Linked DNA regions of Stegostoma tigrinum. The protein of the gene in region 2 interacts with the protein of the main gene of each other region in a pairwise test. Links are inferred from orthologs where the notes say so. Each region holds a gene or a part of one and is shown on either strand. Other genes may lie near its edges.

Region 1 (7,683 bases), on a different chromosome or scaffold from region 2:
TACCACATGTAGCCACGTAGACCTAGCAGCAGTCCCCAGCCCATATCTGGATGGCAGCATTAGGTCTACCTGCAGTACACTGACTGCAGTGACTCAAAAAGGCAACTTCCCATAGATGAGCTTTTTTTGGTTCTCATCTATTGCATTGTTGAATGGTCAGCAATACGAACAATACCTTTCAATGTAAGGGAACTACAACCAATATAAACGAAAGAATATCTAAGGCACTATCTTAAACTTGTAGCAGCGATACACATTCCTAATAATGATATCACTCAGATCACATAGCCGTTGTATGACATGCACTTAGGAGATTCAAAGTTTAAGATACAAAGTTCAACATTCTTCAAAGATTACATAATGGTAACAGTTGTGAAAATAACAAATATCTTTGGTTGCAAAGTTGGTGAAACACCCTATTAGTTTGCTTTGTCCAAGTGTCAACTTTACACTCTGTCACATCTCCTTTTATCACTGTAAAGCCAATGAATTATCATTTTTTAAAACTGCACATGAGTCTACAAAGTCATTATTACCCAAGTCATCATCAAACAATTTTGCTTTGGTAATGAACTTGTCATGATTGACCCTTGCATTGTAAGCACTAAGATTACTGAATCACGTACACAATGCTGGATCTATATGCTCATATTTAGAATAGTACTTTCTCTTTGAAGCCTGACCACTTTGTTCAACTGCCAGTCATTTCCCTTTCAACTATAAACATCACTTACAGTTGATCTTTTGGTTTCAGTTCTATGCTTCTCACTAATTTTACATGTAGTAACCTTTTGTATTGCCTCAGGATGTTCCCGTTTGAACAGGTAAATGTAGTGTTTGACAGCAACTGTCAAATTAATATTTCCCCATTTTGGTGGGTTCTGAGGGCAAATTTCTACAGGTGTCTGATACCTTTGCTTCGCAATTCTCCTCCTTATTAGCAATTGTCCACAGTACCACATTTTAATAAAGAAAATTCCATTCTTTCCAGGCAAATCACCAAAGTTATGGCTTCTGCTTCTGTTTCAAAATGATCACACTTTTCAACTTAAAATGTTCGAGCTTCATCGAGCGTATTCTAACAGCATTTGACTGCAGTACAGCCATAAATGTAGCATTTTGGGTGTACATCTGCATCACAATTAATTCTTCGCTCCTGACAAAAAGAAAAACAAAATAACATTCACCTGTCTTTAAAAGATGCCTTCTATATCAATGTAACTATTTCAATCATTCCATCCCACACCTAACTTCTGACTGTGGTTTGTGACCGGGCTTTGGGGAGTCAGGAGGTGAGCTACTCACTGCAGGATTCATTGCCTCTGACCTGCTCTTGTTGCCACAGTATTTACACAAAAGTCTAGTTCAGCTTCTGGTCAATGGTCACATCCAGGATGGTATCAGTGGGGTAATCTTGTGACGGTGGTGCCACTTTATGTCAAAGGCAGAGGGGTTGAGTTTCAGAGCCGTGATGTCATACTGCAACTGTACAAAACTCTAGTGCGGCCTCACTTGGAATATTGCGTGCAGTTCTGGTCATCCCATTACAGGAAGGATATGGAAGCATTGGAAAAGGTGCAGAGGAGATTTACCAGGATGTTGCCTGGTCTGGAGCGCAGGCCCTATGAAGAAATGCTGAGGGACTTGGGTCTGTTCTCATTGGAGAGAAGAAGGCTGAGAGGGGATTTAATAGAGACATACAAGATGTTCAGAGGATTAGATAGGGTGGACAGTGAGAATCTTTTTCGGAGGATGATGACATCAGCTTGTACGAGGGGGCATAGCTACAAATTGAGGGGTGATAGATTTAAGACAGATGTCAGAGGCAGGTTCTTTACTGAGAGCGTGGTCAGGGCATGGAACGCCCTGCCTGCCAACGTAGTTAACTCAGCCACATTAGGGGCATTTAAACAGTCCTTGGAGAAGCATACGGATGCTGATGGGATAGTGTAGGGGGATGGTCTTAGATTAGCTCACAGGTCGGTGCAACATCCAGGGCTGAAGGGCCTGTTCTGCGCTGTATTGTTCTATCTATATATAAGTTATATTATCTCCTGGTGGAGATGCTCATTGTGTGACACTTGTGAGGCAGGAATGTTGCTTGCCGCTTGTCAGCCCAAATCTGAATATTGTCCAGGTCTTGCTGCATTGAAATCACTGTCATCTACAAACATCATTGACCGTTACACTTCTTGGCTCACTCCGTAAGAACATTCATGTCTGGAAAAGGAAGGGGCCGGGTGCTGATTCTTGATGCAATTCAACACAATCATCAATGCTGATAAGTAAGCAGGTATCAGTGCCTGTTAAAAGGTAAAATAAATGGGCAGGGTTAGTGGCCAAAAGAAAATCCAGCTGTAAGAAATGACAAATCCAAATAATGGATGACCTCAACTTTGTGAAGGTGGGAAATGGAGACCCATTAGGTGAGCATTGGAATAGTCTCACGCTGGGCTGACAAGTGGAAGCTATCATTCACAACACATAAGTGACAGGTAAAGAGGATCTTGAGAAAATGAACGTCAAGCTATGTCTCTATGACCAACACTGGTACTAGCGCTATCAAAAACACCATCCAAAATTTGGGCGTCATGATTGTAAAGGAGCTGAACTGGATCAGATATATCAACATCAAGGCTCAAAGACAAGGGCCAAGGCTCACTCATCTATGATGAAAATCTCAACTCCTGACATCTCAGAACCTCTTCTCCACATACGTGGGTCCAGTCAGGCATGTGATAGCATTTTCACTTAGGTTGATGCAGCAGCAAAATCATTCAGAAATCGAAATATTATCTGGAATATAATACACTCGATCAGTGCTCCTGCCACTAGCGCTAGCATTCACCCTTCCAAAATCAGTAAATTGAAGCTTTTCTATCCATCACCATCAAGATGCACTGCAATAACTCTCCCATGGTTACTCTAACATCACCTACTCCAGTGCAAACATGAACATTCAGGACAAGACCTACTTTATCATGGAAACATCGTGACCTCTAAGTCACACAGTGTTTTGGCTGTGCGTAAAATGGTAGCACTTTAATATTGTAGTCAAAAGTCTTATTCCAGGCCTGGAATCTAAAACTGACAGCTTTACTGCAGTAATGAAGAAATACTGCATTGTTGAATGCCCAAAAAGTTTCTTGGGGAATGCCAGTTCAAGGCAAATCAATTTGTGGGCCCCCAGCCACTGCAACTCTCCAGTTTTTCCTTCCATTCCGTGAAGATAGGCTTCCAGGTCCACATTTGGTCCTGGTGCGGGTCCTCCCAAAGTGCAGGGTCCAGATTCGCCCACCCAAGGAGGGGAGAACAAGTAACACTTGCAAATGAACGCACTGGTTGTAATGGATCACTGCTGTGAGGTCTGCAGGACATGTCGGACTAGTATGCCTTATTTGCATGCTTTACTTTGTTATTTTTCTTTTTGACTGGAAACATTATTTCTTTTTCTCTCCACAGAAACTGCTGGACCTGTTGACTTTCTCCAGGACTTTCTGTATTTTTCAGTTTCAGATTTCCAGCACCCATAGTCTTTGCTTTTATTTACAACACCAGGAATCACTGGAAAAACTGAGAAGGTCTGGCAGCATCTGTGCACTGAAATCAGAGTTAATGTTTTGGGTCCAGTGACCATTCTTCAGGACTGACGGTAGGTAGGAAATAGTTGTTATTTATACAGAAGAGATGGTAGTGGGAGGGGGTAAGAAGTAAACAATAGGTGGAGATACAGCTGCTGTCACTCCCACAATGTGGTTTCCTCCACACTGGGGAAATGAATCATAGCCTGGGTGACCACTTCCCAGAACACCTGTAAAAAAGACCCTGAGCATCCCATTGCCTGCCGCTTCAACACAGCACCTTCTTCTCTGACCAACATCTCTGCCTCTGGCTTGCTGCAGTGCTCCAGTGAAGCTCAGTGCAAGCTGGAAGAACAGCACCTCATTTTCTGCTTGGGAATTGTACAGCCTTCTGGGATCTGTATTGAATTCAAAAACTTAAGGGCTGGAGCAACTTCTTCCAATGTCTTTACCTCTCCCCTCACACACCAGGCCTTGTTATCACAGTTGGCTATTACACACAACTCATTATTAGACACTAATATCAGTCATTCATTCTCCTAGACTGACCATTATATCCACTCCTTTGTCTGTCCAACTGTTATTCTTTTGCTTTGGGCTCTATCTCCACCTTCGTTTACTCCATACCCACTCCCCCCAACCTGTCTTCTGCTGTAAAATCAACTGTTTCGGAGCTACTATCAGTTCTGAAGAAGGGTCACTGGACCTGAAACCTGATTTCTCTCCATAGATGCTGCCAAATCTGCTGAGTTTTTCCAGCTATTTATATTTTTGTTCTGATTTCCAGCATTCGCAGCTCTTTCAATTTTTTAAACACTCTTATTTAGTTTGTTTTAGCTGATGTATTTAAATGAGAAATTTGTGTGCACCATTGCAGATCTCCAGATTCGAAATAAAACCTCTGCATTTGAAGTTACACCGAGACGTTTCTTATTTCGCCAGATGGGTCTCAAACTCAACTTGGTAAGAAAGGCTGAGCTGCAAGGTCTCTTGACTTCTTTTAAAATTAAAACAAAAGAAAACCGAATACACACAGCTACCAGGGGGATTGCTGCAAGTGGCAGCAGTTACTTAGCAACGGGATTCTGGAGGTTGAAGTCATAATTCAATCTCTCTCTCTAAAGAACAGTTTCGAAAAAAAACGATAAAAATTCATTTCATTCACCTGAACTGCAGAATACAGCATCGAGGGGACAGCAGGCTCCTGTAAAACTGGTTCAAAACTCTTTGGAATTGAATTCCAAGTGGGAAGCAAAAGTAAAATTAACAATATTCCAAAAATATGGAAGTACATGTTAAAATTGTTTTTAAAAAGCCTGAGATTTTCTTTTGATTGAGCGTTGGAGCTGGACCAAGAGCTCGGTTGCCAAGTAACTGCAGACGCTTCCTTCTGAAGTGTTTGGATCGCGGGCTGTGTCTGGCTTGGTTTTAATTTTAAACCGCGTTACAGACCCGACTGCTCGAGTTGGCGGAATGAAGGTGAGTATCGCTTAGAGCCTACTTACATATTTAGTGTGTGTTTCATAGAGATAAGCCGGCGGAAAGTGGAGACTGGCAGCGGAGGCTGCAGTCGTGGCCTAGTCTGGACTGGCCTCTCCTTCAAAGTGATCTCCCAGAGCCTCAGCCCCGCAGTACTAAGGCCCCCAAAGCCGACCATCTAACCCTGAAACCGACACCCTGACCTTAACAACAGATACCCTAATCTCAAAAGTAACACTTCATTTGTTACTCCCTGATCCCAACATAGATAGTCAAGTCCCAAAAGTAACAACAAATACCAGCCCTTAACACACTGCGACGAAAATACCAGCTTCAGCACTAATATCTAAATATTAACAATCAGACTGATACTTTGCCCCAAAGCAACACACATTGGAGGCGATAGGTTGAGTGGCTTTACCACTAGAGTATCCATCCAGAGATGCAGATAATGTTCTGGGGTCCTTTTATTTTAAAACCTGTCGTGGAAAAATCTGCATTTAAGTGTTTAGTGATGACCATGAAACCATGTGGATTGTCAGGAAAAACTTACCAAATGCCCTTTAGGAAAGGAAATCTGTTAGCTTTATCGGGTCTTGCCTTCGTGTTACTTCAGATCCACAGCAATGTGGTGGACTCTTAACTGCTCTCTGGGCAGTTAGGGGTGGACAGTAAATGCTGACCTAGACAGTAACACTCCCCTGTGAATGAAAAAAAATCACACACTGATACTTCACTCCAACAGTAGCAATCTAACTCCAAATTAACGCCTGAATAGAAACATCTTAATATGAGCATTCCTATCACAACACTTACACCCAATAATAACAAACTAACCCAACACATACACTCCATCACTAACACCCTAATGCCAACACTAAGCAGTGTCTTCATTAACAAAGAAAGCCACTTCTTGCATGTGTAGAATGATCTGTTGCATACCTTCAGCATATCTGTGGAGCGGAATTACAGTTTTTCATTGCTTTGCATATAATGGGCAAGGATGAGTTATCTGATTTTGTTGGTATTACCGTGTCCTTTTAACAGGCCTATTGTTGTTTGCTGCATGCATTCTTTGCCATCTGAAACAAGGCCATGACTAGAGATTGCTCCCTAGGTAGTTTTTATTTATTGTAAATCCTTCTCAAGACTGAGTCATGCTTCATTTCTTGAAATTTGCAATCAAGGCATTATTGAATCTTACTATAAGCCTACCATGTAGAGGGTGTCCTATTTTAAGTGTGAATATTCGAGATTTTATTGTCAATTATATGTGCTGTATGTTCAGTCAATTTGAGCTGTAACCTGATGATTAACACTTAATTTCCAGACATTTCTATTCTCGGTTGCTTTCTTTTGCCATTTAATGACCAAGACATTTCAAGTGCACCTTATGTGGAAACTGTTCAAATGCTTAATTGGTCTGGAGGAGGTGATCCATGTCTCAATGGCATATAGCAGGGTGGGTATTACTGCATCTTTGTACACAGCAAGTTTTGTTGTAGTTTTGATACCTTAGGTAGAATCCTATAGAGGTCTCTGCAATTTGGACTATGGCGAGACCTGTGGCAAAATCAGATTTGAAATACAGGAAGGCTTATCTCAACGTCAGGGGCCTCTCACTCTATCTTTTACGCTTCTGACACTTGTGGAAGTTTCTTGTGAAGCACCAGTGACTTACAAATTAAGGGTTGTTATTGCTTGTTAAACACCCTGTTAACAGCTCAACTTGCTTCACTGGCCTTCTGAGGAAGGGTCACCAGACCCGAACCGTTAACTCGGTTTTTACCTTCACAGATGCTGCCAGATCTGCTGAACTTTTCCAGCAATTTCTGTTTTATTTCCTGGTTTACAGCATCTGCAATTCTTTCATTTTTTTATTTAGTATTTGCCTCACTGGCTGCTTTGACCCCGATGGGGTCAAGCGTTTTGAGTGTTCTTGGAGCTGTGTTCATCCAGGCAAGTGGAAAAGGTTCCATTACACAGGGCAAATGTCAGTAACCATGTGAGGCAACTCACAACTGACGGCGCTTGTCCAGTACACAACAAGCCTTGGGAGGTGGTGTGGGTACAATGAATTCCGGGATATCACGTACTGGTGAGTTGTTCTGGGAAAATTGTGCGGTAAGATGGAACTGGAATTTAATACGAGGAATGTCACAGGGTAGGGTAAGTAATGAATAAAGCAAATTTGGTAAGCTATGGCGAGCTTCCTCACTTGACATTGTGGCGCAATCCTTCCAAAAATCAAGATGCATTGGAAGGTAGCTGCGATAATGGAAAATTCAACTCTTCATTTCCTCCTCAGTCTCTCTTGTAAATAGGCAAATGCTGATCTTACTCTGAATCACAAGGACACTGCTTCACATCAATTGTTATGTCAGAAGGGTAAGTGCATTCATTGCTATCATTGACTCTGGCTGCTTCAGCCAGAGAAACTTCTTTAGCCAGACAGTGGTGAATCTATGGAATTCACTGCCACAGAAGGTTGCGGAGGCCAGGTCATTGAGTATATTTAAGACAGAGATAGATAGGTTCTGTCAGAGGGATCAAGGGTTACAGGGAGAAAGTGGCAGAATGGGGCTGAGAAACTTATCAGCCATGATTGAATGGCAGAGCAAAC
Region 2 (7,155 bases):
CATTTGTGTTACAAATGCTAGACAATTATTATTTCCAAACAGAATCTAGCCATTTCTTATTGGGGTTTTATGGCATTGCCATTTCTAAACTCCTGCCATCAACATTCTGGCAGGGACCAACAATCAGACACCGATTATAAAAACAGATCAGAATTCTACAAGTGACTGAAAATTTGACTGCCCAAAGCTTTTCCACCAACAAGGAATTAGTGAGGAGGGTGATGGAAAGCTCTGCTTTGTCCTGGACAAATGCAAATCCAAAACAGTTAAAAAGCAGCTCAACACAATCTAGGACAAAGCAACCCCCTTACTTTATATCCATTTTCCCACTACTGACGCACAGTGATGATGTAGCATTACACTTAGAATGTGTATGCCAACCACCACCACAAGACCTTCAACTTCCATTCATGCAACCTCTACTACCTAGGAGGATAAGGGTCGCAGATGCGTTGAACACCACCAGCAAGATCCTCCCTGCCACACACTACTTTGACTTAGAATGGCAATATGTGTCTATTGTTGCTGGGTCAAGATCCTGGAACTGCTTCTGTCATCATGGGTGAACCTACACCATATGAACTGTAGCAGCTCAAGAGCCAATTGGTGTTGATAGAAAGTTGTTTATGTAAATGAAGTCCAGTGTACAGTAGCATCCCATGAGGATCAGCACTGGGACCCTATTGTTTTTGATATTCAAAAATGGGGTTGATAGGGTAGGTTTGAAGATGGCACAAAGATTATCTAGGTGTTTGACTGTGAGGAGGAAGGTGTTAGGTGACAGAAGGATATGGATTGGTCAGATGGACAGATCGGTGACAGATGGAATTTAACAGTAACAAACATGAGGTGATGTACTTTGGAAGAAGGAACAAGGAACAAGTACCCAATGAATGGCAGGACACAATAAAGCTCAGAATAAGAGAGAGAATTTTTGGCGCGCTTGTCCTCAGATCCCTGATGGACAGATTAACAGGACAGTTAAAAGGCACATGGGACACTTGCGTCCACCAGTCATGACAATGATTATAAGAACAGGGATATCATGTTAAAGCTTTACAGAAGCTTGGTTAAGCCACACCTGGAATACTGCATGCAGTTCTAGTCACCACACTATAGAAAGGATGTAATAACACTGGAGGGGCTGCAGAGAAGATTCACCAGGATGTTGCCAGGGATGAAGCACTGCAGCTATGCAGAGAAGTTGGATAACCTGGTGTTGTTTTCTTCTGAGCACAGAAATTGAGATGAAACCTAGTGGAGGTGTGTAAAATTATGAAGGGCATGGACATGGCGACGAAAAATCAGCTGTTCCTGCTAATCAAAGAATCAATAACAAAAGGGGCATAATTTTAAAAGTAAAATACAAGTTTAGAGGGAATTTGAGGAAAACCTTTTTCATCTAGACAGATGGTGAGAGTCTGGAATACACTGCATGGTGGGTTTGGTGAGGTAGGAAACTTCACAAGCTTTAAAAAAGTACTTAGATGGCACTTCAAGAGCTCATAACCTTCAAGGCTATAGACCTAGCATGGGAAAATAGGACTAGTGTATATAGTAGTGTATTTTCAGCAGGGCAGATTAGATGGCACAAAGGGCCTCTTCAGTATTGAATGATTCGTGGATTCTCAGGCAGCACCCTACCATCTTTAAGGGCAATTTGGACCAGGCAATTTGGCCTTACCAGCGACACACTCATGCCGGAGGCCCAATCAGATCATAAGGAAGATACTGAAAACAAATCAAATAAAATCCTAGTGAACAACATAACTGTCACATGTTTTATTTGTAAACATATAACTGATCAAACATCTGCAGTTATCAATAATATGCAATTACACCCTTGAAGAAATAGTTCAAAACACTTAATACAACTGAGTTGTATTTTAATGTAATTTTAATGTAAGCAATCCCATATCTACTACCTACATTAAAAGGTATTTGCAAAAACTTTTCAAAGTAGGTAGGGACTGAGCACATTGCTCAAAAGTAGAATTCTTTCAGAAAACTATGTAAGGTTCTACAGTTAGCATTAGTACTCCAAGATGATAAAACTGACCAACACCTGATAAAAAAAATTGTAATCTTCGGAAAGAAATTGTCAGTTGGAGCCTAACCATATGCAGATAACTAATTTTTGACCAACTTAATACGTCTAAAGCAGATTTAAATTCATAACTATGATAAACTTTATATAGTCGTTTAGCTTAACGTAATCACGGATCTAAATTCCTGCGTTCCCTTTTGTTTAAAAGAAAACTGATGTGGTGAAGTAAATGCATATCTGAAATGAAAAACATGTTAACACAGCAAAATAACCAAATGTCAATTGTGGAAACCAGATATCACCTAACGAGACGATGTCATCCGATACCAATACGGTTTCTAAACAAAGAAAAGCATTAGACTAAACCTTAGCAATAACATGAAATAAACCGTTCATCTCAATTCCTTCCACCACGAACTCAGCCGTATACAAAATTAATGTGGAGGTGGATGTCTCGCATGGTGGTGGAAAAATGTCACACGCCTACAAGCTTAGCAACAACCTGAGTGCTCAAGGTACCACCCGGACCTCCCAAAAATCCGGCATTTGAAGAGCTTCACATCAACCACGCCATTGCTATGACATTGATAAACGGCAGATTTGCAGCAGCTTTTAAAAAAGTGACTTATAGTAAGCCCCGCAAAGGCTCCCTGGACTTTCCCGAAACCGCCTCTGGCGCCTGTCCATCACCCGGTCCCGTGTCCATCACCATGAAACTCCCCGCACTCTCCTCTCCCGTCCGCAGCCAGTCAACCAAGAAGGTATGAACAGATTAGCGTAGGTGAGGTTGGGAGCAACTCTTACCTCTTCGCTCTTCAAGACCTCCTTAAACTCTCGTTTAATTCGCTGCACTGCGATATTGGCCATTTCGCGACGCGCTGCTCGGCCTCGGCTCAGCCTTCCTTACAACATCAGACTATCAGCACGGCCAAAATGGCGGCGCTTCCGCGCAGGCGCACTCCAACAGCTCCGTCGGGCGAATGGGGTCGGCGAGAAGCGCGAGCGGCTGGCGGTGACGGGCTCGCGGCTCAGTCGCTGACTGGCGAACGTTGGAGCGATATGGGCCCGCTCGGCTGTAATCTTCATTCAGTACACTTAGGCCTTCCGTGCTACTGATCCGTGTACACCTGGACAGGGTCAAACCTCATCCCTTACCCGCGTCAAATGACATCCCCTGCAAGGTCTACCTGTCATAATACTCACCCACTGATTTCCCCGACTTGTTGGTGTGTTATTGCGGCTCACTAAGGAGGATATGTTACGTATGTTTAGGGGGTGGGGGCTGGGGTAATGCATTGCTTAACGTCCATCTTTGCATCCACCCAAACCCCAAGCCTCACTCTTATTTCAAGGGCGTTTGTGAACAGAAAGTAGTTTGTTTATGATTCTCTGCTCGAAAGTAATGTTCTTTAATGTTCCCCACATTCTGGATTGTAAACTCAGTTTAATTGGCTGTTGAATTCTCCAGGTGTGGAGTTCAGAAATGAAGAAGGGTCTCGGCCCGAAACGTCAGCCTTCCTGCTCCTGAGATGCTGCTTGGCCTGCTATGTTCATCCAGCTCTACGCCTTGTTATCCTGGCAGGGAGGTGTGCTAGTTCTATTAAGGAAGACTGCGAACTATTAAAGAGGTAGCATTGTAAATAGATACATAAGGATGGTTATGAATCTGAAAAGAGCAAGCTAATTAGAAGAGACAGGCAAGAACAAGTCAGACAAAGAAGGAGCTCTGAAGTATTAAACTGCATTTATTTCAATACAAGGCTGATGAGCTTGGCATGTTTGGGTACATGGGGTTGAGACATCATTGCTATTGCAGAAAATTGATTGAGGGAAGGACAGGACTGGCAGCTCAATGTTGTAGGTAGGATAGAGTGGGGTGTGGGGTGTTTTTGATTGAGGAAAGCATTAGTGCTGTATCGAGAGAAAATATTTCCAAAAATTCATCCAGTGAAAGTATATGGATTGAAATTAGGAATAAGAAAGGAATGATCACCGTGATGTGTTTATATTTTGGGCCACTCAATAGCCAGAAGGAAATTGAGGAAAAAGTATGTAGAGAGATCTCAGAATAAAAAGGTTGTAATAAGAGGGGATTTTAACTTTCCAAGCATTGATTGGGACTACCATAGTATTAAAGGTTTGGATGGTGAAGAATTTGTTAAATGTGTTCAATAAAATTTTCTTTATCAATATGTAAATGTTCCTACTAGAGAAGGAACAAAACTTGACTCCTTGGGTAATAAAATGTGAGGCTGGATGAACACAGCAGGCCAAGCAGCATCTCAGGAGCAGCTGCTTGGCCTGCTGTGTTCATCCAGCCTCACATTTTATTATCTTGGAATTCTCCAGCATCTGCAGTTTCCATTATCTTTGACTCCTTGGGTAATTAGGCAGGGCAAGTGTCTGAGATGATTCTGGGGGAACACTTGAGTCTAGTGATCATAATTGTATTAGTTTTAAAATGTTTATGGCAAGGGATAATCCTTCCATAAAAGTTAAAGTTTTTTGAGGTTGGTTGGCTTGCTGAGCTGATTTCTTGTTTCGCAGTCTTTCGTTACCATGCTGGGTAACATCCTCAGTGCAGCCTCAGATGAAGCATCGGTGTTTAAACTCTGGGGTCCATTGAGATGGATTGCCTCACTTCCGGTTTTCCTTCATAGTGAAATGTATATGGGGTTGAGTTCAATATGTTTATTAATTGCTTGCTTTCTGGAGTGCCAGGCTTCTAGGAATTCTTGTGCCTGTCTCTGCCTAGCTTGTCCCAGGATTTTGGTATTGTCCCAGTTGAAATGGTGGCTCTCCTTCCTGGACCTCTCTGTCTCCATCTCAGGCAACCAGCCAGAAACTGATGTCTGCTTCAAGCCCACCGACTCCCACAGCTACCTAGAATACACCTCCTCCCACCCAGCCCCCTGCAAAAATTCCATCCCCTATTCCCAATTCCTTCGCCTCTGCCGGATCTGCTCCCAGGATTCCACTCCCGCATATCCCAGATGTCCGCGTTCTTCGAGGACCTCAACCTACACCCCCCGCAGTGGTTGAAACCGCTCTTGACCGTGTCTCCCGCATTTCCTGCAACACATCCCTCACGCCCCGCCCCCACAATAACGGCCCTAAGAGAAACCCCTCGTCCTCACGTACCACCCCACCAACCTCCGGATGCAATGCATCATCCTCCGACACTTCCGCCATCTACAATCCGACCCCACCACCCAAGACATTTTTCCATCCCCACCCTTGTCTGCCTTCCAGAGAGACCACTGTCTCCATGACTCCCTTGTCCGCTCCGTACTCCCCTCCAACCCCACCACACCCGGCACCTTCCCCTGCAATCACAGGAAGTGCTACACTTGCCTCCACACCTCTTCCCTCACCCCCATCCCAGGCCTCAAGATGATTTTCCACATTAAGCAGATGTTCACCTGCACATCTGCCAATGTAGTCTACTGTACCCAGTGTGGCCTCCTCTACATTGGGGAAACCAAGCGGATGCTTGGGGACCGCTTTGAAGAACACCTCCACTCGGTTCGCAATAAACAACTGCACCTCCCAGTCGCAAACCATTTTAACTCCCCCTCCCATTCCTCAGACGACATGTCCATCATGGGCCTCCTGCAATGCCACAATGATGCCACCCGAAGGTTGCAGGAACAGCAACTCATATTCTGCTTGGGAACCCTGCAGCCCAATGGTATCAATGTGGACTTCACCAGCTTCAAAATCTCCCCCTCCCCCACTGCATCCCAAAACCAGCCCAGCTCGTCCCCGCCTCCCTAACCTGTTCTTCCTCTCACCTATCCCCTCCTCCCACCTCAAGCCGCACCTCCATTTCCCACCTACCAACTTCATCGCGCCCCCTTGACCTGTCCGTCCTCCCCAGACTGACCTATCCCCTCCCCACCTATACACTCCTCTCCACCTATCTTCTCCTCTATCCATCTTTGGTCCGCCTCCCCCTCTCTCCCTATTTATTTCAGAACCCTCTCCCCATTCCCCTCTCTGATGAAGGGTCTAGGCCCGAAACATCAGGTTTTGTGTTCCTGAGATGCTGCTTGGCCTGCTGTGTTCATCCAGCTTCACACTTTGTTATCTTGGATTCTCCTGCATCTGCAGTTCCCATTATCTCTGCTCTCCTTGTCCATGTAGATTGAGATGAGTGAGTACTGGTCACATCATTTTGTAGCCAGTTGGTGTTCATGTACTCTTGTTGTTAGTTTCCTTCCTGTTTTTCCGATGTTCTGTTTCTCAAAGTCACTGCAGAGGATCTTGTAGATGTCGTTGGTCCTGTCCATGGCGGGAGTGGGTCTTTAGTTCAGGTGAGCAGTTGTCGAAAGGTTGACATGGGCTTGTGTGCCACTGTGATGACCAGCGGTCATAAGAGTCTTGTGGTGAGTTCTGACGTATTCCTGATGTAGGGTAGTGTGATGAGTGTGTCAGGGTGTGTAGTATCTTTCTGATGTTGTTCATGTAGGCATCTTCTGACCCAGTTTTTTGGATATCCATTATCCTTGAAAACCTGGAAGAGGTATTCTTCTTCCTCTTGGCAAAGTTCCGTGTTGCTGCAGTGTGTTGTTGCCCTGTGTTCAATAGTCAACACACGGGAAGGACAGGCCCTGGAAGGATTAAAGAAGGACAAGAACATGACAATACTACCCACAGACAAAGGGCACATGACAGTGATACTGAAAAAAAGGGACTACATCTCCAAGGCACATGCACTGCTCACCAATGAGAATACATACTGGCCGGTACAAACTGACCCAACACTGCAACTAGGCAACAAAATCCTCTACACACTAAAAAGACTTAAACAAACACGACAGATCAACATAGCAGACTGCTCAAGAATGAAACCCAAAGGAACCAACACACCCCAATTCTACGGCCTCCCTAAAGTGCACAAGCCAGAAGTACCCCTCAGACCCATAGTCTCCCTACCAGGCACTCCATGACATAGATTAGCCAAGGAACTACAAAGGAGATTCAGGTACCTAGTCAACAAGTCACCCCACTCTATCCACTCAGCCCAAGAATTCCTCAACTCCATCAAAGACATAAGGATGGATGTCAAAGAGACCGTGATATCGTTTGACGTCACTGCCTTATTT
Region 3 (7,117 bases), on a different chromosome or scaffold from region 2:
ACAAAGTTCTGAGGAACATTGATAGAGTGGATTAGGGAGTAGTGTTCCCCCTCAGTAGATGCGTCAGTAACCAAGAAGCACTGTTGTAAGGAGTGGGAGGCTTAGTGGGGATCTGAGGAAGAATGTTTTCCCCCAGAGGCTGGTGGGGGATCTGGAACATATTGCATTTGAGGGAGAGAGAGGAGGGGCATTGAATAAGTATTCAGGTGAACAGCACAGCACATAAGGGGATGGGCCAAATGGCTCCAGCAGAACACTTGTGGCACTGCAGTAATGTTCCTGGAGAACCGGTTGTTCCAAACATGTGTCAAAACATCCATGAACAAGATCATTAGAAAATATCTCAGGGCTAGTATGGTTAAATGGGGTTAGAACAAATGGATGTTGGATGGCTGGTACTGGCTAAATGGGCTGAAGGGCCTGTTTCTATGCTGTTAAATACCCTACCTCTGCAAATCAAGGGCAATTACAGGCTTGCAACAACAACAACCGGTGAAGCCCATCTTCTCCCGGGACGCTGCAAGAGAAAGGTGACATGGAAATAAAGCTTGTTGTATTGTGAACCTCAGTTGTTGTTGTAGACCAGCCCCTTGCCGTCATCCGTTCGTCCCGCCCCAAACCCCCCGTTGCCGTCCAATCACCCTTTTCTCTTTCGCGATTGACAGCGATTCCATCCATTCGATTTACACCGCACACGAGCCCCGCCTCTCCGCACACGGATTGGAGGGCATTTATGACTGACGGGGCCTGTGTCCAATCAGTCAGACCAGTACCCGCACGCCCTCAGCCCCCGGAGATAATGGGAACTGCAGATGCTGGAGATTCCAAGATAACACGGTGTGGAGCTGGATGAACACAGCAGGACAAGCAGCATCTCAGGAGCACAAAAGCTGACGTTTCGGGCCTAGACCCTTCATCAGAGAGAGGGATGGGGAGAGGGTTCTGGAATAAATAGGGAGAGAGGGGGAGGTGGACCGAAGATGGAGAGTAAAGAAGATAGGTGGAGAGGAGAGTATAAGTGGGGAGGTAGGGAGGGGATAGGTCAGTCCAGGGAAGACGGACAGGTCAAGGAGGTGGGATGAGGTTAGTAGGTAGATGGGGGTGCGGTTCGGGGTGGGAGGAAGGGATGGGTGACAGGAAGAACCGGTTAGGGAGGCAGAGACAGGCTGGACTGGTTTTGGGATGCAGTGGGTGGGGGGGAAGAGCTGGGCTGGTTGTGTGGTGCAGTGGGGGGAGGGGATGAACTGGGCTGGTTTAGGGATGCAGTGGGTGGGGGGGAAGAGCTGGGCTGGTTGTGTGGTGCAGTGGGGGGAGGGGACGAGCTGGGCTGGTTTAGGGATGCAGTAGGGGAAGGGGAGATTTTGAAGCTGGTGAAGTCCACATTGACACCATTGGGCTGCAGGGTTCCCAGGCGGAATATGAGTTGCTGTTCCTGCAACCTTCGGGTGGCATCATGGTGGCACTGCAGGAGGCCCATGATGGACATGTCATCTAGAGAATGGGAGGGGGAGTTAAAATAGTTCGTGACTGGGAGGTGCAGTTGTTTATTGCGAACTGAGCGGAGGTGTTCTGCAGAGTGGTCCTCAAGCCTCCGCTTGGTTTCCCCAATGTCGAGGAAGCCACATCAGATACCTCTGCTTGATGTGGAAGTGATGTTCACCTGCACATCTGCCAATGTGGTATACTGTATCCACTGTACCCGGTGTGGCTTCCTCTACATTGAGGAAACCAAGCGGAGGCTTGGGGACCGCTTTGCAGAACACCTCCACTCGGTTCGCAATAAACAATTGCACCTCCCAGTCGCGAACCATTTCAACTCCCCCTCCCATTCTTTAGACAAAATGTCCATCCTGGGCTTCCTACAGTGCCACAATGATGCCACCCGAAGGTTGCAGGAACAGCAACTCATATTCCGCTTGGGAACCCTGCAGCCCAATGGTATCAATGTGGACTTCACCAGCTTCAAAATCTCCCCTCCCCCCACTGCATCACACAACCAGCACAGCTCATCCCCGCCTCCCTAACCTGTTCTTCCTCTCACCTATCCCCTCCTCCCACCTCCATTTCCCACCTACCAATCTCATCCCGCCTCCTTGACCTGTCCATCCTCCCCGGACTGACCTATCACCTCACCACCTATACTCTCCTCTCCACCTATCTTCTCCTCCATCCATCTTCAGTCCGCCTCCCCCTCTCTCCCTATTTATTCCAGAATCCTCTCCCCATCCCCCTCTCTAATGAAGGGTCTAGCCCCAAAACGTCAGCTATTGTGCTCCTGAGATGCTGCTTGGCCTGTAATAATGGGAACTGCAGATCCTGGAGAATCCAAGATAATAAAGTGTGAAGCTGGATGAACACAGCAGGCAAAGCAGCATCTCAGGAGCACAAAAGCTGACGTTTCGGGCCTAGACCCTTCATCAGAAAAGGGGCATGGGGTGAGGGTTCTAGAATAAATAGGGAGAGAGGGGGAGGCGGACCGAAGATGGAGAGAAAAGAAGATAGGTGGAGAGGAGAGTATAGGTGGGGAGGTGATAGGTCAGTCCAGGGAAGACGGACAGGTCAAGGAGGTGGGATGAGGTTAGTACTTAGGAGATGGAAGTGCGGCTTGGGGTGGGAGGAAGGGATGGGTGAGAGGAAGAGACAGGTTAGGGAGGCAGAGACAGGTTGGACTGGTTTTGGGATGCAGTGGGTGGAGGGGAAGAGCTGGGCTGGTTGTGTGGTGCAGTGGGGGGAGGGGACGAACTGGGCTGGTGTAGGGATGCAGTAGGAGAAGGGGAGATTTTGAAGCTGGTGAAGTCCACATTGATACCATGTGGCTGCAGGGTTCCCAGGCGGAATATGAGTTGCTGTTCCTGCAACCTTCGGGTGGCATCATTGTGGCAGTGCAGGAGGCCCATGTTGGACATGTCATCTAAAGAATGGGGGGGGGGAGTGGAAATGGTTTGCGACTGGGAGGTGCAGTTGTTTGTTGCAAACTGAGCGGAGGTGTTCTGCAAAGCGGTCCCCAAGCCTCCGCTTGGTTTCCCCAATGTAGAGGTAGCCACACCGGGTACAGTGGATGCAGTATACCACATTGGCAGATGTGCAGGTGAACCTCTGCTTAATATGGAAAGTCATCTTGGGGCCTGGGATAGGGGTGAGGGAGGAGGTGTGGGGGCAAGTGTAGCGTTTCCTGCAGTTGCAGGGGAAGGTGCCGGGTGTCGTGGGGTTGGAGGGCAGTGTGGAGCAAACAAGGGAGTCACGGAGAGAGTGGTCTCTCCGGAAAACAGACAGGGGTGGGGATGGAAAAATGTCTTGGGTGGTGGGGTTGGATTGTAAATGGCGGAAGTGTCGGAGGATGATGCTGCTGCTGCTGCTGCTGGGTTCACCCAGCTCCACACCGTGTTACCTCAGTCCCGGAACCTGGGAGCTGGGCGGATCGCCGACCGGTGTCCTTCCCGCTGCCGTCAGAATTCCAACCAATCATTCACCGAGAGCTACGATCGACAACAATCCCAACCAATGGCAAGAAGAAAAATAAGAGGGCGGAAGGTGATGGACGGCTACATTGACCAATAAGATAGTGACCGACGGGGCTTGGTCCAATGGGAGTCGGGGTTTGTTGATTGACGACGTTTAAGTCAATTTGGAGCCGACGTCTATCGGTGACCCGCCCCGGGGCGGTATACCATCCAATGGGAGCCGGGGTCTAGCGACAACCGCTTCCGCCTGGCTGATTGACGGCGGTGTAGCCGAATCAGATGGCGAATAACGGCCATGTAGATTAATCAGACGATGATTGACAGCAGCCTGTTGAAGGGAGCTCATAGTCGAGGTGTGACCCGGTCCTGGCGCACACCATGACCGTAGCGATATCCAATGGGAGCCCGTAACTACCTTTCCCCGCCTCCCGAGACCTGATTGACTGGAATATGATCCAGTCATACATCGATATTGGCCGCGTGTTTGAAACGAACGTTGATTGACGACAATATGTCCAATGGGAACCGTGCATCCCGCGGCAGCTCCCGCCCAGAGCCAGTGATCGACGGCAGACCAGCCCAATAAATACCGCTGTCCGCGCTGGGTCCGCCCCTAAGAAGGCGGGCCGTTAGGAAGGGGGCGGGACCTGCGGTAGTGTGGTGTTTGTTCAGTCATGGCGGCCGCGGCTGAGGGCAGCGAGAGGGCGGCGGCGGCGGGAGAGGAGCGGCCGGGGCAGGCCCAGGCCGACAAGGGCAGCTTCGAGTGTAACATCTGCCTGGACACCGCCAGGGACGCGGTCATCAGCCTCTGCGGCCATTTATACTGGTCAGAGAGAGGGGGGGAGGACAGGGGTCTGGGGCTGTGTGGGTGGGGGGCGGGGGGGTGGCAGGGGGCTGTGTGGGTGGGGGGCGGGGGGGTGGCAGGGGGCTGTGTGGGTGGGGGGCGGGGGGTGGCAGGGGGCTGTGTGGGTGGGGGGCGGGGGGGTGGCAGGGGTCTGTGGGGGGCGGGGGGGGTGGCAGGGGTCTGTGGGGGGTGGGGGGGGTGGCAGGGGTCTGTGGGGGGTGGGGGGTGGGGGTGGGGGGTGGGGGGTGGGGGGGGTGGGGGTGGGGGGGGGGCGGGGGGGGTGGGGGGGTGGGGGCGGGGTGGGGGGTGGCGGGGGCCTGCGGGGGGGGGGCGGGGGGGCGGCGGGGTCTGCGGGGGGGCGGCGGGGGGCGGGGGTGGCGGCGGGGTCTGCGGGGGGGCGGCGGGGGGCGGGGTGGCGGCGGGGGTCTGCGGCGGGGTGGCGGGGGTCTGTGGGGGGTGGGGGGCGGGGGGGTGGCAGGGGTCTGTGGGGGGGTGGGGGGCGGGGGGGTGGCAGGGGTCTGTGGGGGGGTGGGGGCGTGTGGGTGGGGGGCGGGGGGGGCTGTGGGTGGGGGGCGGGGGGGCTGTGGCGGGGTGGGGGGCGTGTGGGTGGGGGGCGGGGGGGCTGTGGCGGGGTGGGGGGGCGTGTGGGTGGGGGGCGGGGGGCTGGTGGCGGGGTGGGGGGCGTGTGGGTGGGGGGCGGGGGGGCTGTGGCGTGGGAGGGGCGTGGGGGCTGTGTGGGGTGGGTGGGCGGGGGCGGGAGGGGCGTGGGGGCTGTGTGGGTGGGTGGGCGGGGGCGGCAGGGGCGTGGGGCTGTGTGGGTGGGTGGGCGGGGGGCGGCAGGGGCGTGGGGCTGTGTGGGTGGGTGGGCGGGGGCGGCAGGGGCGTGGGGGCTGTGTGGGTGGGGGGCGGGGGGGCAGAGGGCGTGGGGGCTGTGTGGGTGGGGGGCGGGGGGGCAGAGGCGTGGGTGCTGTGTGGGTGGGGGGCGGGGGGGCAGAGGCGTGGGAGGGGCGTGGGGGCTGTGTGGGTGGGTGGGGCGGGGGCGGCAGGGGCGTGGGAGGGGCGTGGGGGCTGTGTGGTGGGTGGGCGGGGGCGGCAGGGGCGTGGGGGCTGTGTGGTGGGGGGCGGGGGGGCAGAGGCGTGGGAGGGGCGTGGGGGCTGTGTGGGTGGGTGGGCGGGGGCGGCAGGGGCGTGGGGGCTGTGTGGGTGGGGGGCGGGGGGGCAGAGGCGTGGGAGGGGCGTGGGGGCTGTGTGGGTGGGTGGGCGGGGGCGGCAGGGGCGTGGGGGCTGTGTGGGTGGGGGGGCGGGGGGGGCGGCAAGGGGCGTGTGGGGCTGTGTGGGTGGGGGCGGGGGGGGGGCGGCAGGGGCGTGGGGGCTGTGTGGGTGGGGGGGCGGCAGGGTTGTGTGGGTGGGGGGCGGCAGGGGTCTGGGGGCTGTGTGGGTGGGGGGCGGGGGGCGGAGAGGTCTGGGGGCTGGGCGGGGGGGGCGGGCGGCGTCCGGGGGCTGTGTGGGCGGGGGTTGGGTGGCGGCGGGCGGCGTCCGGGGGCTGTGTGGGCGGGGGCGGGGGTTGGGTGGGGGGGGCGGGCGGCAGGGTGGCAATGGGTCGGGGGGGGTGGAGTCTGGGGGAGGGGTTTGTCTGGATCTCAGTGGGGGGAGGGGTGACTTGGGTTGTGGAGACGTCTGAGAGATGACAGTTTGTCTGGGACATGGGGTTGGGGGGCATTTTGTCCGGAACATGGGGTTGGAGGTGGGGCGACCGTGCCCGAGCCGTGGGGTTGGAGGGTGGCGGGGGTGGTGGGTACTGTGCTTGGCTGGTAACAGGGTGCCTGGGTCTTGCAGGGCCCTCAGGAACCGGTGTCGGAGTCTGTGCAGGTTTGGGGGCACCTCTAATGTGATAGATCCAGTGGGGAGCATCACCCACCACACTGTGCTGTTCTCAGCAACTTCTACCACTCCACCCTGTCCAGACCCCACTTGGGGATTTCTGTCAGATCTCCCAAAGAGAGCAGCCCCAACTTCCCCAACCTGTCCTCATCGCTGATGTTACCCATCCCTGGAACTATTGTTGTAAATTGTTTTTGTTCTGTCTCTGATGTATTCACATCTTCCTGGTGATGTGGGACAGCCAACTGAGGCCCTTGTTAATGATCAGCTTACCGCTGTAACTCGTCTCTTCCCCTGACCTCCCACTTTAACAATCTCTGCACGTACACACCAGGGCCCTCTGCTCCTGCGCTCATCAGTTTGACCCTCCCAGCAGGACTTTGCACATTTTCATTACTGTCTGGGTATAGAGGTTTCCTCTCAATTGCTCATCATGTCTTCTTGGTCACTTTCCATTTAGGGTTTCTGTCTCCCTCGCTCTTCTCCACACCCCCTGCCTCTCCCTCTTACATACATACTTCTGTTTGCAGTTTGGCCCCTGCTGGCAGAGTCAGCTTTCCTGCAATCAGGTTGTTGTTAAGTAATCACACTATTGTTAATCATAGAATCCGTACAGGGTGGAAACAGACCCTTCGGCCCAACAAGCCCACAACGAACCTCAGAGCATCCCACCCAGACCCATCCCCCTATAACCCACCTAATCTACACCTCACTGAACACTACAGGCAATTTCGCACGGCCAATCCACCCTAACCTGCACATCTTTGGACTGTGGTAGGAAACCGGAGCACCCGGAGGAAACCCCCACAGACACGGGGAGAATATGCAAACTCCGCACACAGTGGAACCTGGGTCCCTGGCACTGTCAGGCAGCAGTGCTAACCCCTGTGCCACCCTACTGATGACACGCCTTCCCTGCTAGCAATGGTAA
Region 4 (7,831 bases), on a different chromosome or scaffold from region 2:
AGTAAGTATATCCCTCCTTAAATAAAAGCCACCAAAACTATTCAGAGCAGTCAGGAGGTCTTACCAATGTTACGTGGTTATATAAAAGAGGTTGATAAGTCTAATCCCAGGTCAAAGTGGGATACAGAATTAAAGTGGTAGCACTTGGCACCTGAAACATGATCAGGTAGTGATCAGCAAAGCTGCTATTCAACTTGCTTTTGGTCTCTTTACAGTGGAGGAAACCATACTGAGCAGTGAACAGAGTTTACAAGGTTGCAAGATGCCCAAGTAAATTACTGTCTATACCATGAGTATTTTGAACATTGGGGAGTGGTGAGAAAAGAAAGAGACAGGTATTACACTTGCGTAGAAAGGACAAGTACCTTCCAGAGAACCCGAGTTGCCCAAGGGCAAATTGGGACAGGCAATAAATGCTGGCCAGCCAGCAATGCCCAAATCCCACAAGGAAATAAATTTAAGTATAAAAATGGCCCAGAGACTGCAGACCTGATCTTTCAGCCTGTTGAAACAATAGAAGGTGCTTCTTTGCAACACTAAAAAAGATAAAGTTGCCATAGTTTTTGTTTTTAAAAGAAAATTCACATGACAGTCATCATGGATCGACCACCATTTATTGCCCATCCCTAGAAACCCATGAGAAGATGATGGCGAGGTGCTTTAAGTAGGTCCACAATGTCAATGAGGGAAGTAATTCTAAGGATTTGACTGAGCGACATGTTTCCAAATCAGAATGGGGAACTTGCAGGTGGTACGCTCACATATCTACTGCCCCCGTCTATCTAGATGGAAGTGGTCTAAGGTTCTCTGGCAAGTCAAGTGAGCTGATTTGTACTGGATGGCTTTAAGTTTCTTGAACTTTGTTGGAGTCATACTCCCACGAGCAAGTGGGGAGTATTCCAATATGCTACTGAATTGTGCTTTGTAGATGATGGGCAGGCTTTGGAGTCAGGGAATGAGTTCCTCATTGCCAAATTCCTAGCTTGGGCTGCTTTTGTAGTCAGTCTTTTTTATTTTAAAAAAGACAAAGACAGTCTAGTTGAGGTTCTGATCAACAGTAACACCAACTCCGTACCCCACACTATTGTGCATGTCTTATTGCATTTGAACATGGACTGCCTCAGTATCATGAGATGACAAGACCACAGACTACTGAGATGACTCAGTGGTTTAACTCAAGGATCACCACACATCAGGAAAGGGGAAAGAGGTTGAAAAGTAGCATCCTTCATGGCAATTCCAGCCAGTGGAAGAACTGAGCTTATGTTGGTGTCACTCTACATTGCAAACCAGCCATTCAACCAACTGAACTGACCAATTCCTCCATATTAATTTGACAGAAATAAGCATTAAGTTGTCAAGTGCAGAAACCGTGAAAGGAAGTGGTGGACAAGAAAGTATGGTTTATTTAGGCCAAAAAGGTAATCCTCTGCTAGAAGGATGAGGGGAAAAACCTATTCAGTAAACTAGTGACAGGGCATTCCTACCAAAAAGGCCAATTTTTCACTTTTCCAAATACTAAGCCAGCCTTATCGTCTCCTTCCTTATCACCACTGCCCCACCATTTACATTACAACACAATTTTTCAATGTTTAAGTGCTTTACCTGGTTACTCCAGATACTTCAATCCCAGCAGTGACTAAGCAACCAAATAACACTCCGACACAGACGTTGCGTTTAAAAGTTACAATTGGGGCAAGGTGAAAAGAAAAATATATTGTTGGAAAATCCTTTTATAGCAGGCCTAGTTTGCACCTGCTACATCTAAAAGACGTCAACGTATACGTAGTGTTGGGGCTGCCTGTATTATTACAGACTACGAAAAGATTCACACGAATTAACTGGAGAATAGCTTCAGAAGCTACTGTACCAGATTGAGACCTCGTGATCGGTGGCAAATTATATTATCAGCAAAGCGATTGTCAACATGGAACAAAGACGCAGTGGTTGGAGTTTCCCCCTCCTGCACACATTTCCATTGCATCAAACATAACAGAAGACTAAACGTACTGGATCACAATCCAGAACCAACATTTTTGTTTACCTTCCCGCTGTGTTACTACAAACAATAACTAAAAATAAAAGCTGCTGAGAGAATACGGTGGAAGTAACCAGATCGGAAACGCAAAGACTTGGCGATCGTTCAGAAAACTGCGTTAGGAGACACATTCGCAGGGGTAGCTCTAAACAATGCGAGGTCGGAATGAGTAAATAATAAATTAAAACGCCAGCGAACTGGACAGCCCAGCCATTTCTAACAATAGCGAGTAGGAGAGCGAGCAGAGGGCCGCGGCCTACTAAAATCTCGCCATGCCGGCGGCCTCTCCCGCACAAACAATCAACACAATCCGCTCCCACTGCAGCCTCCGCCAAAGGCCAGGAGCCCTAAGCCTTCCGAATAAAACACGACAAAGCAGCAGGAGGGCGGACTGGCTTGCCCTAGTCATGCAACATCGGCACTAACTCTGGCCGCAATGGCCCTCCCCAGCGAACAGAGAGCTTCCCCTTCTCGATTCCCACCTCACTGCCTTATGGCGACTTTAAAAGGTCCGATTTCTGACTGTACTCACCGGCGTTAAAATGCAAACTCGAGTCGCACCCAGATACGTCGCTGCTTATTGTGTGCGTCGCACTCCTTGCCCACTCTCCTGCTCTCTCTGGACAGATGGATCAAAGGCTGACCCGCTGCCGACTCCAGACGCGAGGTGGGCCAGCGGCTCCTTTCTCTTTTCTTTCCCCCCCCCCCCCCGCCACTGTCAGCCTCCACCACCCGCCTCCTGCTCCCGCGCGGCGGCACCAAACGGCCGCGCTCGAGCTCCCCACAACGCGCTCACCTGCCCTTGCGCAGCGCGCCTAATTATTCCAGTGGGTGGGCCAATCAGCGGCAATAGCCAGAGCCCGCGCGAGCCTGGTCCACAGACGGTGACGACAACGACCAAGACTGTGAACTGGCGTGTCAGTGATGGAAGTGCTGAAGGAGCTGAGACCAACCTTGTTGTCACCGAGGTACACATCACTGAGTAAAACACCACATTATGGGAGGGACCAGAACATACATGGACGATAAGATTGGTCAAAGCTAGGATTACCATGTCGGGCAAAATTTAATAGTAACATATAATAAATAGTTTTTATGGCACGCTAATGCAGTGCATTGGAAATCAAACCTCACTTCTGCCGGAGTCTTCACAGAAAGATTAATTAAACTCTCCAGGGTCCCCATTTAATTTGATTGCAAACCCAAGTAAAATGAAAATACTCATAAGGTATTGTACCACAGAATCCCGACAGTGTGGAGTAGGCCATTTGGTCCATCAAGTCCATACCTACCATTCGAAGAGCATGTCATCCAGACGTACCCATATTATCCCTGTAACCCCATATTTCCCACGGCTAATCACCTAACCTGCACATCTTTGGACCTTTGGGGGGCGGGAGGGTGAACTGGAGCACCCGGAGGAAACCTACGCAAAGACGGAGAATGTGCAAACTCCACAATGTCACTTGTGGGTGGAATCAAACCTGGGTCTCTGCCACTATGAAGCAGCACTGCTAACCACTAAACCAGCCATGTCACCCATTTTCAGGGAAAGTTGGGATGAGGGAAATACAAAGGATTAAAACTGGTATTTAACCATAACTTTACATTTAACTAACTACTTAACAAGAAAACGTTTAGATTTTGCAAACAAATTGTCTTTAACTGATGGCAAAAAAATTACCAACTTGTAACTCTTTATATTTTAATTTCTACCCCTTTTAAGAAGCTTTTCTGGGCTTAATCAAAAGGGTGTTAGGCCAGCTTTTCTGATGGCCAAAGAATTGTATTTTCATCGTAGACGGGAGTTACGCAGGGAGATTCTGCCATTGGACCTGAACCCACCAGAACTGACATCCACCCTCCTCACCGTACCCTCGAGACTGTAGCACTGACCTGGCCCCCTGGCCAAATTCCAGACATGTTCCCACTTGGCACCCTACTTACCTTGCAGCTTACCCCTCCTCATCCACAGTCCATCCCGCTCAGGCATTTTATGTGTGTCACTGTACCATTTCCCCAGCTAGCACCCTATGCACCTTGCACTCCATCCGTATGCATCTGACATCTTACTGCTAGGCATCTTCCCTACCCAGCAGGCGCTTCATATACCCAACAATCTACCTGCCTGCCAACCTAACACCTACTCATCTGGCAACCGAACTCAAGCATCCAACCCCTTCCCATCTAATATCCCACCTCTTCCTAGCAGGCATCTGATCCATCCTATTTACCTGAAGCATTGGAACCCACCACTAACTATCTGGCACCCTAATCGCTGGCATTCCACCATTCCACAACTGGCATTCTACCATTCTACTTTTGTGGCACCATTCCTGTCTGGCATACTAGCATTCTAAACCCCTACCTATCTGTCACCATTGACTCCCAGCACCATAACCCTATTCTAATCTGATGTATTCACTATTTAACAGCAGCTTCCAAAGTCACTGTCTGGACCTTTAAATCTCAGAATGCAGCAGCTGGCTGGTAGGAAAAGGGAGCATGGATTTCCTTCCTGTGACAGTTTTGCAGCACAGAAGAACTGACAGAATAAAAGTACAGTGATAATGGGAACTGCAGATGCTGGAGAATCCAAGATAACAAAGTGTGGAGCTGGATGAACACAGCAGGCCAAACAGCGTCTCAGGAGCACACTAGCTGACGTTTCGGGCCTAGACCCTTCATTAGAGAGGGGGATGGGTAGAGGGAACTGGAATAAATAGGGAGAGAGGGGCAGGCGGACTGAAGATGGAGAGTAAAGAAGATACGTAGAGAGGAGGGTATAGGTGAGGAGGTAGGGAGGGGATAGGTCAGTCCAGGGAAGATGGACAGGTCAAGGAGGCGGGATGAGGTGGTAGGTAGGAAATGGAGGTGCGGCTTGAGGTGGGAGGAAGGGATGGGTGAGAGGAAGAACAGGTTAGGGAAGCGAAGACAGGCTGGGCTGGTTTTGGGATGCAGTGGGGGGAGGGGACGAGCTGGGCTGGCTTTGGGATGCAGTGGGGGGAGAGGAAGAACTGGGCTGGTTTTGGGATGCAGTGGGGGAAGGGGAGATTTTGAAGCTGGTGAAGTCCACATTGATACCATTGGGCTGCAGGGTTCCCAAGCGGAATATGAGTTGCTGTTCTTGCAACCTTCAGGTGGCATCATTGTGGCACTGCAGGAGGCCCATGTTGGACATGTTGTCTGAGGAATGGGAGGGGGAGTTAAAATGGTTCGCGACTGGGAAGTGCAGTTGTTTGTTGCGAACCGAGCGGAGGTGTTCTGCAACGCGGTCCCCAAGCCTCCGCTTGGTTTCCCCAATGTAGAGGAAGCCACACCAGGTACAATGAATACAATATACCACATTGGCAGATATGCAGGTGAACCTCTGCTTGACATTGAAGGTCATCTTGGGGCCTGGGATAGGGGTGAGGGAGGAGGTGTGGGGGCAAGTGTAGCACTTCCTGCGTTTGCAGGGGAAGGTGCTGGGTGTGGTGGGGTTGGAGGGGAGTGTGGAGCGGACAAGGGAGTCGTGGAGAGAGTGGCCTCTCCAGAAGGCAGACAAGGGTGGGGATGGAAAAATAGCTTGGGTGTTGGGGTCGGATTGTAGATGGCGGAAGTGTTGGAGGATGATGCGTTGTATCCGGAGGTTGGTGGGGTGGTATGTGAGAACGAGGGGGATCCTCTGGGGGCGGTTGTGGCAGGGGCGGGAATAGAAGAACAGGTCTGCATTTCAGAAGGAGTCCTGATTAGAATCTCCTCTCAGAAATGTGAAATTGTTTTTTCACTAAAGAAGGGCCAAAGTGGCAATCTACAAGTGATTGCCAGTTCTCTGAAAATTTGGTCTATTGTTTTATTAGTACTGAATTTTATTTTTGTATTTGTTCATGGGATGTTGGCTGTTACAGTATTTATTGCTCAGAGTACAGTTAAGAACCAACCACATTGCTATGGGATGTCAGATTTCCTGCATCAAAGGGCATTAGTGAACCAGACAGGTTTTTCATGACAGTTTTTATTGCATTCAGATGTTTTATCTTCCATAGTGAGGTTTGAACCCATGTTGTCAGGGCATTAGTCTGGGGCCCTCTGGACTACTAGCCTAGGAACAATACCATGAGACCAGTGTCTCCCAATAAAGTGTCCACATCATCCTTAACTAGCGTCACCTGTCTGGGTGTATCTCACTCGGAGGTAGGAAGGATAGCCGATGCTGGAGTCAGAGATAACACAGTGTGGAGCTGGAGGAATACAGCAGGATAGGCAGCAACAGAGGAGCAGGAAAGTTGACGTTTTGGGCCAGGACCCATCTTCAGAAATGGGGGAGGGGGAAGGGAGCTCAAATAAATAGAGAGAGGAGGAGTAGGGCTGGGGAAGGTAGGTGAGATGGTGATAGGTGAGTGCAGGTAGGGAGTGATGGGGATTGGTCAGTGAGGTGGGAGGAGCGGATAGGTGGGAGAGAAGATGGACAGGTCGTGTCAGGTCAAGGAGGTGGAATGAGAGGGAGGGTTGGAAGGAATTGGGTCTCCGCCGCGTCTGCTCCCAAGATGGGGTGTTCCACTCCTGAAGATCCCAGATGTCTTTTTATTTCAAGGACTGCAACTTACCTGGTCGGTGGTTGAAAATGCTGTCGACTGCAACTCTTGCGTTTCCTGCACCACTGCCCTCACATTCCCTCTCCCCAACAAATACAAAGACAAAAACCCCATTGTCCTCACATATCACCCCACTAACCTCGGTATCCAATGTCTCATTCTCTGCCACTTCCGCCACCTACAGTCTGACCCCACAACCAAAGAAATATTTCCCTCCCCACCCCCCTCTGCCTTTTGTCAGGACCACTCTCTCCATGACTCTCTCATTTGCTCCACACTCCCCACTAGCTCCACCACCCCTGGCATCTTTCTCTACGACCGCAGGAAGTGCTACACCTGCCCCTACACCTCCCCCCTCACCTGCATTCAAGGCATCAACAAACCTTTTACATCAGACAGATGTTCACCTGAATATCCGTCAATGTGATCTATTGCATCTGCTACTCCTGATGTGGCTTTCTGTACATCAGCGAGGCCACGCGGAGGCTCGGAGACCGCTTTGAAGGGCACCTGCATTCTGTTCATGACAAACGACAACACCTTCTGGTCATGAACCATTTCAACTCCCACCTTCCCCCATTCCCTGGTGACAGGTCCATCCTGGGCCTCCTCCAGTGTCTCACTGATGCTACCCGGAAACTGGAGGAGCAGCACTTCATATTCCACCTTGGGAGCCTACAGCCCAATGGCCTAAACGCGGACTGTACCATTTGAAAATTTCCCCACCCCCGGCCTCATCCCATGACCAACTCTCACCCTCATCCCTGCCTCCTTGACCTGATGCAGCCTGTCCATTTTCTTTCCCACCTATCCGCTCCTCCTACCTCACTGACCAATCCCCACCAAGCCCTACCTACACTCACCTGTCACCACCCCACCTGCCTTTCCTAGCCCCACTCCTCCTTCTGTGTTTATTTCTGAACTCCCTTCCCCCTCCCCCATTTCTGAAGAAGGGTCCCAACCCAAAATATAACTTTCCTGCTCCTTTAATGCTTCCTTGCCTGCTGTGTTCCTCCGGCTCCACACTGTGTTATCCTTGGGTGTATCTCTATAGATTTCTATATAATCTCTAAGTAAACCTACTGGGCCTTCCCATTATCCTTCCTCTAAATATAAGAAGACAGGCTGAATCTTATATTTTTTGCCTGGGTGAGTTTTGTTCCTTTTCACAAAAGGTTTCACTCCACAAGACTTTGTGATATCTCTCGCCTTATCA

The links.
Region 1: the proteins of ube2kb (region 2) and rnf32 interact in binary tests that used the Homo sapiens proteins (3 or more experiments, as listed by UniProt). The link is inferred for Stegostoma tigrinum from reciprocal best matches to the Homo sapiens genes UBE2K and RNF32.
Region 3: the proteins of ube2kb (region 2) and rnf5 interact in binary tests that used the Homo sapiens proteins (3 or more experiments, as listed by UniProt). The link is inferred for Stegostoma tigrinum from reciprocal best matches to the Homo sapiens genes UBE2K and RNF5.
Region 4: the proteins of ube2kb (region 2) and siah1 interact in binary tests that used the Homo sapiens proteins (3 or more experiments, as listed by UniProt). The link is inferred for Stegostoma tigrinum from reciprocal best matches to the Homo sapiens genes UBE2K and SIAH1.

What each region holds. Positions count from the first base shown.
Region 1 is NC_081355.1:140,737,973-140,745,655, reverse strand, and holds the start of rnf32 (RING finger protein 32), read left to right. Parts: upstream 1-4,676; 5' UTR 4,677-5,060; intron 5,061-7,683. UniProt on the Homo sapiens protein: May play a role in sperm formation.
Region 2 is NC_081354.1:98,591,536-98,598,690, reverse strand, and holds the start of ube2kb (ubiquitin-conjugating enzyme E2Kb (UBC1 homolog, yeast)), read right to left. Parts: upstream 3,022-7,155; 5' UTR 2,915-3,021; coding exon 2,852-2,914; intron 2,809-2,851; exon of another isoform or gene 2,745-2,808; intron 1-2,744. UniProt on the Homo sapiens protein: Accepts ubiquitin from the E1 complex and catalyzes its covalent attachment to other proteins. In vitro, in the presence or in the absence of BRCA1-BARD1 E3 ubiquitin-protein ligase complex, catalyzes the synthesis of 'Lys-48'-linked polyubiquitin chains.
Region 3 is NC_081387.1:28,190,989-28,198,105, forward strand, and holds the start of rnf5 (E3 ubiquitin-protein ligase RNF5), read left to right. Parts: upstream 1-4,102; 5' UTR 4,103-4,135; coding exon 4,136-4,287; intron 4,288-7,117. UniProt on the Homo sapiens protein: Membrane-bound E3 ubiquitin-protein ligase that mediates ubiquitination of target proteins. May function together with E2 ubiquitin-conjugating enzymes UBE2D1/UBCH5A and UBE2D2/UBC4.
Region 4 is NC_081369.1:29,621,448-29,629,278, reverse strand, and holds the start of siah1 (E3 ubiquitin-protein ligase Siah1), read right to left. Parts: upstream 3,001-7,831; 5' UTR 2,571-3,000; intron 1-2,570. UniProt on the Homo sapiens protein: E3 ubiquitin-protein ligase that mediates ubiquitination and subsequent proteasomal degradation of target proteins.